Linked DNA regions of Kluyveromyces lactis. The protein of the gene in region 2 binds, or shares a complex with, the protein of the main gene of each other region. Links are inferred from orthologs where the notes say so. Each region holds a gene or a part of one and is shown on either strand. Other genes may lie near its edges.

Region 1 (2,337 bases), on a different chromosome or scaffold from region 2:
GCACTGGAACACAATTTGACTCGATGTAACATCATGAGCACTAATCTCCAATACAAACCTGAACATTACACCAAACATACCTATTAAATACTTGAGAAGTTAGACATTCACTCACTCATTCACAAAAACATAACATAAACCATCTTTTTGTTCTTGTAATTTTGTTAATATTTATGAATTTTCGGAAATCACATAGTTTAACAGTCAGTATTCCTCGATGATACTTCCCTCATTCAGGGAAATATATGCTGATGACGATTATTATTATTGTGTAGAATTACCTGATAGCATCTTATATATGGTGATATGTAAATTTAATCACTTCAATTTTACCGCATGGGGCCAAGCTGTTAAGTGTATGTAACTACTACATTGGTTTATGACCGGAAAAAGTGCCCGAATTCCTCTTATCAATTTAAGCCTATATACATGAGTTCTTGACCGTAAGAAAGCCTTGGGAGATGGTGATTTATGCCCTGATTATTGATATACCGCTTTTAATACAGTAATCGGAACAGCTGGTCTATTCTTCAAAGACTTCTTTCCTAGGTTCAATAACAACCCTACTACTTGTGTAGGTCTTTCCCCAATTTTCATCCAGGATTCCAGCTTTTCTCAATAGTCTTGTTACCGTATCACTAGGTTGAGCACCAACACCGATCCAGTATTTAGCTCTTCCGAAGTCTAATTCCACATCTTTAGTAGGAACAACACCTTGTTTAACCTCTTTCTTCGTTAATGGTTTTGGGATTGGGTTGTATGTTCCTAATACTTCAATTGGTTTCCTATTCAACGCCTTATGTTTGTTGGTAACAACTATGTTGTATACTGGGGTATGTTTCCTTCCGAATCTAGCTAGTCTTATCCTCACCAAACCTTTCGTCATGATTATTGTATTTCACCAAACTTGGCGTTAAATTCTGGTTTAAGAGACTTGGTTTACTCGCTCTGGTCGTCTTGATACATAATATGTTTGTCCTGTTATTACGCTTTTAATGTTGATTGAATTTTTTTTTCTATCTTTCGAAGGATTTTCAACACCAACTAAATAAAGCATGTCTATCACGTGATATAGGTGGGATATCTAACAGCCGTATGAGCAACATTCGTCTTAGGCGTTTATGGCGACATTACAGCCTAATAGTATAGGAAGTTGATCTATGAGAAAGTATCTATAAGTGAGAAAGTGTTTATTTACTGGAGTTAGACTGACGGTGGGAATTAGTTTACCAAAAATGCAGTCATATAAAACGACTTGGCATTACAAATAACATCGCATTCAGTAAAGAAAGTTAACGACACAAATAATGAAATAGTATGTTCTTGAACCCGTTTAGCAGACGCATATATACAGAGTTGGCATATATTAACCAAAATTTATTTACTTTTTATTCTCTGCTTTCTTCATTGCCTCACGATCCTTGCTGCTTCATCACTAAGGGCTTAAAAAGAAATTTTTCACAAGCTGTATAAAATTTTCAATCTAGCTCATCTCATCGCTCATCTCATCTAACAAGTAGAGACGAGTTATAATCAACAACACCTCAGAAAAGAGAATTACTGAGTTTAACTTGGGATTGAAAACTGACAAGCGAACAAATTGTGCAATATGGGTCCTGAACAAGCGTCCAAGCTTCTTGAACTTGAAGATAAGCTTGCTAAAATCAGAGGACAATCTACATCAAAACTAGAGAATCAGAAGCACATTGCCATAATCTTGGCTGCTATTGAAGAAAATATTAATGAGCAAGAGGCAATTAATAAGAACATCGTGAATTATCTTATTTCTTTGATGTCCTTGCTGGATCAAACTATCGATACAGAAACTGCGGCCATTAAAGATCTACAATTAGCAACATCAACGATGTATTTGTTGGACATCATTTTTCATTATACACCAAAGAAAATATTAAAGAGCAGGTTTGCTGATATTTTGATTAAAGTTGCCCCATGTATTACTGATGAAAAGGCTAACGCTCCTTTGATCAAATCCGCTCTTGGTTGTTTAGAAGCTTTGTTAATTGCCCAGGATACGCAAACGTGGAATAACACTCAAAATTTAAAGGTGACTCCAACAAGAGGTTTGGATGGTCTACTTGAGCTATCTCTAGATCCAAGACCAAAAGTAAGGAAGAGAGCACAGGATGCAATTACCAACATTCTAAAAAACCCTCCACCTGGTCCAACAGCAGAACACGTCGCATCACCTTTGATCTCAGCATTCGCTATTAATGCATTGGTATCCATCCTTGATGAATCTGCAACGATTTCCAATAAGAAGCTAAGAGCAATGGGAGGTGCAAGTGAATTGAACTCCAAAATCATTCATATTTTGAA
Region 2 (2,149 bases):
AGTATGCAAATAAAAAAGAAGATGAGGCTGAATTAATGGTTTTATCGTCTTCATTAGTATGTAAGCCCATTGATAGTTATCTGGCAGTATGTCTTCGTAGCCATGAACTTGAGTATCATTGGGCAATGCTGATAGCTTACGGTGAACAGTTTTGGTTGAAAGGAGTAAGCTCTAAACAACCAGATGATTATTTAATATTGGACGAGAGTTATAGAAAAGACCACAATCTAGCTGAAGAAAGTTTTGTATTTAACGATTAATGGATTGAAAGCTGGAAAAGTAGTAATATTTTCCAGCTTTTTAATTTGTTGTTACGTTTATATGTTAACCTACTTAACCTGAATAACCACCAGAGCGGATAGAACACTGACTGATAATAGATGAATTGATGTTACATTGGAAATCACACCAATATTGATAAAATCCTCGAATTAGTTCAGAATCGCAGTTATTTACTGATTCATTATTCCCATCAGATCCAGCCAAGAATCAAGACCCTGCCGAAAAGCTGGGGTAAACGTTTGATTGTGGCCCACGGCTGGCTATGGGCGATTTCTACGTGCGGCAGCAGCGCGCCAGCGCGCCGCTGATCAAAGATCCATTACTGCTGCAGGTTACCGACAATGAAAGCCAGCTAGCCTCGATGCTGGCACACGAAATCTCACACGTGACCAAGCGCAACGCACCGCTGACCTGGGTAGGCACTCGGCTCCATTTTGCTGGCTATAACCAACCTGACTGCCGGCATAGCAGCGCTCAGCGGTACCGTCGCCGGTACCCAGCAAACGGATCATCAGTTTTGGCCAGGTCAAAGAATAGGAGGCCGATTGCATCGGCCTGTAGGTGCTGGAGCGCGCCGGGTTTGATCCACAGGGATGCCCGACTTCCTGCAAGAGCTTTCCGATCAATCGCGCTACACCTCCAAGGTTGATCTGCGTAAACTGGGTTGACAACAGGAAAAAGGTTGAATGCCTGGCAATGACTTAAGTATCCTTTATTTCAATCTCTTTTTTTTTGAAATTTAGAGATCTTTTCAACATGGAAAATTTTATTCAATAACATGAATATTAAGCAAGCAAGAGAAGGAAAACAACCAAGTCGCTCGGGCCTTTCTACGCCTGTTAACGAGAGATTGAATAAATTAAAACACATCAGAAGAAATGTTTTCCCGCAGCTGCGCAAGATTCTTTTCTACCACAAGATATGTCTGCAACAGTCTTGACCAAAAACTTCTGAAAGAAGGTATGTCGGAAGCTAATAGCAAGCCCACAATCAAGAAGCTAGAATCCAAGTTAATCAAAAACTTTCAGCCGGGCTCCGTTTACAATCCATTTGATTTCTCCTTAGAAAGAATACATTTAGATAAGAAGTTTGGGGTACGTCCTGGATCGTTTGACCCATTCAACAAATTGAAGATCAATCCACTTGATTTATACACCAACCCAGAGTTCTTGTCAAGATTTGTGACATCAACGGGTAAAATATTACACAGAGATGTAACTGGTTTATCGGCTAAGAACCAGCGTCGTCTAACAAAGGCTATTAAGAGATGCCAAGCAATAGGTTTGATGTCTAAGGTTCACAAAGACATATCGGTGCTTCCTCAAAGAACTGCAAACAGAAGCTAATCATGACATGTGATAACTTCTTGTATATATGAATATATGTTTCTCAATAAATAGGATTATATCTGTAAATAGCGCTAACAGTATAAACACGTTGCAATGGAAAGCTCCGGGACTGAATGATAGTACAGTGTTCTCATTTGTCGAATAGTCTATCCGATGGACCGTGCAATCGTATATAAACATCAGTACCCCATCCCCACAATGACTGAATGTCAAGTGTACCATTGAACAACTCTAGGTACGCTTTGCACATTGGAAGTCCGAATCCCATACCTGCAACGTTTTGGACTTCTTGACCAGGTAAAACATAATCGCTCATACCGCTGTCCTTCTCTTCCTTCACCGTTGTGGAAAAAGAATAATCAAAGACTCGGTCTTCTACCTGTGGATCTATACCGCCTCCGAAGTCTCTGATTCTGATCTCAAGTTGATCGTCGTTTTTCACTATTGTTACTTCCACATCTTTGTCAACGTTGTTTTCAATATGTGCTCTCGAGCTGTTCTTAAGCAATTCTTGAAGG
Region 3 (2,247 bases), on a different chromosome or scaffold from region 2:
ACCTCCACAGTGAACAATAGAGGTTTGAAAACTGCTTCTCCACACTTCTGTGCTCAGGAAGTTTTACAATATGTTATGGCTATTAGCTCTAAACATTCTGATAATGCTACTTGCGTAATTCTGCGGTTACCGAACTGGGGAAATTGGCCTGTCATTGATCGCACTGGTGCGATTAGAGAGGAAAAGCTACTAAGTGGTGTATCCGGTGGAGAAAGATCTAGTGGTTGAAAAAAGTCCACAAACTTAATCATAAATTAAATTCAAAAGAAACCTCAAGTAAAGAGTGTATATTCTATTTTACTTCAATTATTATATATAGTACTCGTTATGATTAACATTTGCATCTATTTAACAATGAGAAACACCATTAACTCCCAATTAATCGAGAGCACTTGTTCAATAAATCATTTCTTAGTAATAGATACAGTTACGTATGGAGTACACGGTGGTACATGAACTTCCAGGTGTGATTTTATATACATGCTGCTGTCTGACTAACTTTGTGCTTTTCATAAATGTCAAATCATTTGTTCTTAGTTTGAGTATAACTGAATCTCTTTCTTGTTGGTACGAATTCTCCTAGCTTACTTCCTACCATATCTTCTGTCACTTCAAACGCGACATACTCCTTACCATTATGCACTTGGAATTTCAGTCCGACAAATTGAGGTAATATGGTGGCAGATCTGGCATTTGTTCTAATGGGCGTACCTTTGGCCAATGCTTCTTTTATTGGTAATGGGACTATATTTGGACCTTTCCATACAGAACGTGATAGTAATCTCAATGACGGGAACATTTTATGACGTTATGAGTGTTATCGTAGACGCGAGATATTTGTCTAACTGCTGGAACCTTTGGCTGACTGATATCATGGTAGTGACTTAACTCTATTATATCTTGTCGTTATTTCAAGTTTTACAGATTGAAATTTTTTATGAATTCCGTTCTGAAATAAAATAATAGACGAATGGCGATGAGATGTAATATGATGCGATGAGCTTCAGGAATTTAGAAGGTCAGTAACAGCATAGCGACAGCATAACGATAGCATCCAGTCAATAACATGTTTGCTGCAAGGTTTGATCCTACTAAGGTGACTGAAAATGTACTAACAGCTGAAGTCACACAAATAAAAGAACCCACTGTGCCCCAAAAGAGGAAAAGAGATGCGGAAACTGATGATGAAGGCTCTGGTGAGGACGATGCTTCCAGCAGTGAGGATGATGCTTCCAGCAGTGAGGATGATTCCGATACAATTAGTGAGCAAGATGAAAACAAGGTTGCATCTGTTGCGCCTACAGAAACTTCTCAGCAATCAGTTGATGCAAAGCACAGTTCCGTATTAAATAGATTTCAACAGACTCTTTCCCTGCAAGGTGCGTTGAGCGCTTCAGACAAGGTCAGTAGTGACAACGATGTACACGATGAGGACGTATCCATGAAAGATGTTCACAGTCTTACCCCAATTCCTCAACCGGCCAAAGTGACCAATGAAGCCTTGAAGCTTCTAGATCCGTCTACATATAAATCCACTGCGTGGGATGCAGCAACCAAAATTCATTACGATAGTAAAATGGTTAAACAATTCGATAGCTACGAAGGTGAATTAGATGCACGTCTGCTTAAAAATATTACCTCCAATTTCTCATCTGAAACGTTCCCTATTCAGACCATTCTATTCGATAAAGTGCTCCCGCTTCTAAACTCATCTTTTAAAGCAAACAGAAAACTTTTCACAAGACGAGTTGGTGATATATTAGTAAACGCATCAACTGGTTCCGGTAAGACCTTAGCATATTCTGTCCCTTTGGTTCAAATTTTGAGATCTAGAACAGTGAATAAAGTTAGGGCAATAATTTTGGTTCCTACTAAAATTTTAATTCATCAAGTCTACGATTGTCTCTCTAAACTAAGTCAAGGGACCAGTCTCAATGTATCAATGTCGAAACTCGAGAACTCCTTGAAAGAAGAACACAACAAATTTTTGTATAACTCTCCAGACATTCTAATCATCACTCCGGGCAGACTGGTCGATCACTTGCAGATGGAATCATTTGACCTAAAAACTTTGAAGTTCTTAGTCCTTGATGAAGCAGACCGACTATTAAATCAGTCATTCCAAAATTGGAACCAAGTGCTTTTCCACCATTTGACAAACGATAAGCAGGATAAACGTCCAGGAAACGTAATCAAAATGGTCTTTTCTGCTACTTTGACTACGAATGCAGAAAAGTTGTACAATTT
Region 4 (2,444 bases), about 330 kb from region 2:
CCCTTGCCGGATGTATTTGTCAAGAAACCGGTTGATTTAGTGCTAGCTGCGGACTGTGTGTACTTAGAAGCTGCTTTCCCATTATTGGAAAAAACACTGTTAGAATTAACTGATGGGGAGAATGTGCCAATTATTCTAATGGCATACAAGAAAAGGCGTAAAGCGGACAAACATTTCTTCCAAAAGATCAAGAAGAACTTTAAAATTGTAGAGATACGAGATTTTATTAACTTCGATAAATATTTGAAACAGAGAACTCATTTGTTTCAGCTTATGAGGGAGAAATAAAAAAATAGTAGTAGGGTGACAACTGACGTTTGTCAAATGCAAAGACACCCCATTTAGTTTGATCTTTTATGCTTTTTGTGATGCTCATGAAAGTACTTTCAATTCGTGAATTAACTATGAGTAACTTTATAGTTATAGTGACTTATATATACATGAAATTTTTATACAATAATGACAGTAAAACTCAGAGTTCTGACGGGAATAGTGTTCATTGGTTGTGTTTAATTGTGGAAGATCATAGTTGAATTTCCTCAACATCTTGATCAATAGGTTTTTGTTCTTCTTCGGTCTCGTTTGTCCAGGAAGCAGAAGGACTACTTGCTCTGGCAGCCATCAACTCAGCTTGCTGTAAGGCCTTTCTCTTCCATGTGTCAATGACCTTTTGTTCCTTAGCAATTCCGTATTCTATTGAAGTGGTATGGAAGACTGAACCGAACATTTCGGCTTCTTCTTGAGCAACTTGATCTTGAATTTCTTGTTGTATTCTTAGACGGTAGAACTCGAATCTAGCTTGATCATATGCATCAATGAGTTCTTTTTTCTCTCCTGATTTTAATAGGAAAAGCGTCCTTTGTACAACTGATTCGCCATCCAATGGCTTGCCTAGTTGTTGGATATGAGACCAGTCATATTCTTGAGTCTCTAGGGTATTCTCAACAAGAATCTTAGGTCTTGAAAGTTCCCATGGATGTTGCTGGAAGAACAATTTTCTCAATTTATCCTCGATATATACTAATTTTGGGGACTGATATAGCTTCGATGCACCATCTTTCTTTTCCAAAGAATTTGGTCTAGTTTTGTATAATCCTGAAGAATTGGCCTTCCAATTGCTGTAATCAGGTAGTGCAGTTCTAGATTTACCGTTCATAGGATGTGTCAGTTGTGGGGTTCTAGCAAACTTCTTTGTTGGTGGTACCTTCGCTATAACATTGTACCAAGCTGGAGTCTTCTTCAAAATACCAGACTTCAAATAGGCGGATGTACGTTCTAGTACATTAACGGCTTCTTGCTGAACCTTCATTTTATATCTGACGTTTATATGGCCCGTTTACTCTATACTATCTCAGTAAACTCGCAGGTTCAAGCAATCGATCCAATACTTGTTGTCCTGGAGCTGTTCATACAGCATATTTGTGAACTTTTCAACTTTTCACTATAATTTCATTTTGGATCGTCGATCAGATTTTTCAAATTTTTCTAAGTAGAAGCATTCAATTTTTAGATCACGTGAAGAGTAAACATTTTTCACCAAAATTAAAGATCGAAGAGCTAAGTGTATGGGGAGCGTAAGTTCCTTTATTCTTTTCAATACAGTGGAATGATAACTGATGAACCTTAGGTTTCATCTCGTTCCTGTTTTGAAAGGTTCAGAGTAGATATTTTCTTCGGCAGAATATTCACGGTCACTAGCTTTTCTGAAAAACATGTCTGCCCTATTCAATTTTAAATCATTGTTACAAGTTATACTATTGTTCATATGTTCGTGCACATATATTCATGCACAAAGACCATCGCTCCTTGATCGTTATAAGGACAGCGGTATACTAGGAGTATTTTGGAAGTTTGCGAGAATTGGGGAAAGAGCTAGTCCTTATGTGTCTTTAGCTTGCATTGCCATGGCAGTTTCGCAATTCAACAGTTGATAAACCCAAGGGAAAAGATAAAGATAAGTCACAATTGCTATAGGTGAAAGCTCTCATTAGCAAGTTTGACCGGCTCTGAGGTCTATAGAATTATATTTTAAGTATAAAATTAGTTTAATCTATTATCGGGCGGCTATTGGATTCGTTTGCGGGCTTGTCTCTTTGCATCAAATAATTAAGAATTAATATGTACTCTTTGAATCTGACTTTGAGTTTCAAAATTCTACAACAAACAAAGAAGTTGAAAAGTGCAACATATTTTAATACTCTAAGCTATTAGTAAAGGAGAACGATTGCGTAAGTTTTCGGTTTACTAATTATTTATGGCATATTTGATCCACTCTATTTAAACTCGTACACTTCGTTTTGGCCATGAGCCAATACTGCCGCGCGTTTAGATCCTACGACTCTCTCTAGAGAAAGACCGTCCATCTTACTATATATGCATCTGACAGTTGAAATGTTGATATCACAGTTGCCTAAAAATACGTTCTTACCAATATTGCGAACAAC

What was found. The genes of interacting proteins can lie anywhere in the genome.
Region 1: RSM18 (region 2) and MRPS16 share a complex: the UniProt entries of both Schizosaccharomyces pombe proteins name them as parts of the mitochondrial small ribosomal subunit. The link is inferred for Kluyveromyces lactis from reciprocal best matches to the Schizosaccharomyces pombe genes rsm18 and mrps16.
Region 3: RSM18 (region 2) and RSM19 share a complex: the UniProt entries of both Schizosaccharomyces pombe proteins name them as parts of the mitochondrial small ribosomal subunit. The link is inferred for Kluyveromyces lactis from reciprocal best matches to the Schizosaccharomyces pombe genes rsm18 and rsm19.
Region 4: RSM18 (region 2) and RSM25 share a complex: the UniProt entries of both Schizosaccharomyces pombe proteins name them as parts of the mitochondrial small ribosomal subunit. The link is inferred for Kluyveromyces lactis from reciprocal best matches to the Schizosaccharomyces pombe genes rsm18 and rsm25.

What each region holds. Positions count from the first base shown.
Region 1 is NC_006042.1:2,519,173-2,521,509, forward strand, and holds MRPS16 (mitochondrial 37S ribosomal protein bS16m), read right to left. Parts: upstream 887-2,337; coding exon 524-886; downstream 1-523. Other genes in the region: mRNA-binding protein RRP12, read left to right, coding at 1,610-2,337. UniProt on the Schizosaccharomyces pombe protein: Component of the mitochondrial ribosome (mitoribosome), a dedicated translation machinery responsible for the synthesis of mitochondrial genome-encoded proteins, including at least some of the essential transmembrane subunits of the mitochondrial respiratory chain.
Region 2 is NC_006041.1:409,293-411,441, reverse strand, and holds RSM18 (mitochondrial 37S ribosomal protein bS18m), read left to right. Parts: upstream 1-1,160; coding exon 1,161-1,628; downstream 1,629-2,149. Other genes in the region: KLLA0_E04599g (uncharacterized protein), read left to right, coding at 1-260; KLLA0_E04577g (uncharacterized protein), read left to right, coding at 545-931; protein kinase PKP1, read right to left, coding at 1,762-2,149. UniProt on the Schizosaccharomyces pombe protein: Component of the mitochondrial ribosome (mitoribosome), a dedicated translation machinery responsible for the synthesis of mitochondrial genome-encoded proteins, including at least some of the essential transmembrane subunits of the mitochondrial respiratory chain.
Region 3 is NC_006042.1:666,682-668,928, reverse strand, and holds RSM19 (mitochondrial 37S ribosomal protein uS19m), read right to left. Parts: upstream 800-2,247; coding exon 524-799; downstream 1-523. Other genes in the region: type 2C protein phosphatase PTC6, read left to right, coding at 1-228; putative ATP-dependent RNA helicase DBP6, read left to right, coding at 1,067-2,247. UniProt on the Schizosaccharomyces pombe protein: Component of the mitochondrial ribosome (mitoribosome), a dedicated translation machinery responsible for the synthesis of mitochondrial genome-encoded proteins, including at least some of the essential transmembrane subunits of the mitochondrial respiratory chain.
Region 4 is NC_006041.1:744,010-746,453, reverse strand, and holds RSM25 (mitochondrial 37S ribosomal protein mS23), read right to left. Parts: upstream 1,310-2,444; coding exon 524-1,309; downstream 1-523. Other genes in the region: EFM6 (putative protein-lysine N-methyltransferase), read left to right, coding at 1-288; KSH1 (Ksh1p), read left to right, coding at 1,713-1,931; rRNA-binding ribosome biosynthesis protein UTP25, read right to left, coding at 2,274-2,444. UniProt on the Schizosaccharomyces pombe protein: Component of the mitochondrial ribosome (mitoribosome), a dedicated translation machinery responsible for the synthesis of mitochondrial genome-encoded proteins, including at least some of the essential transmembrane subunits of the mitochondrial respiratory chain.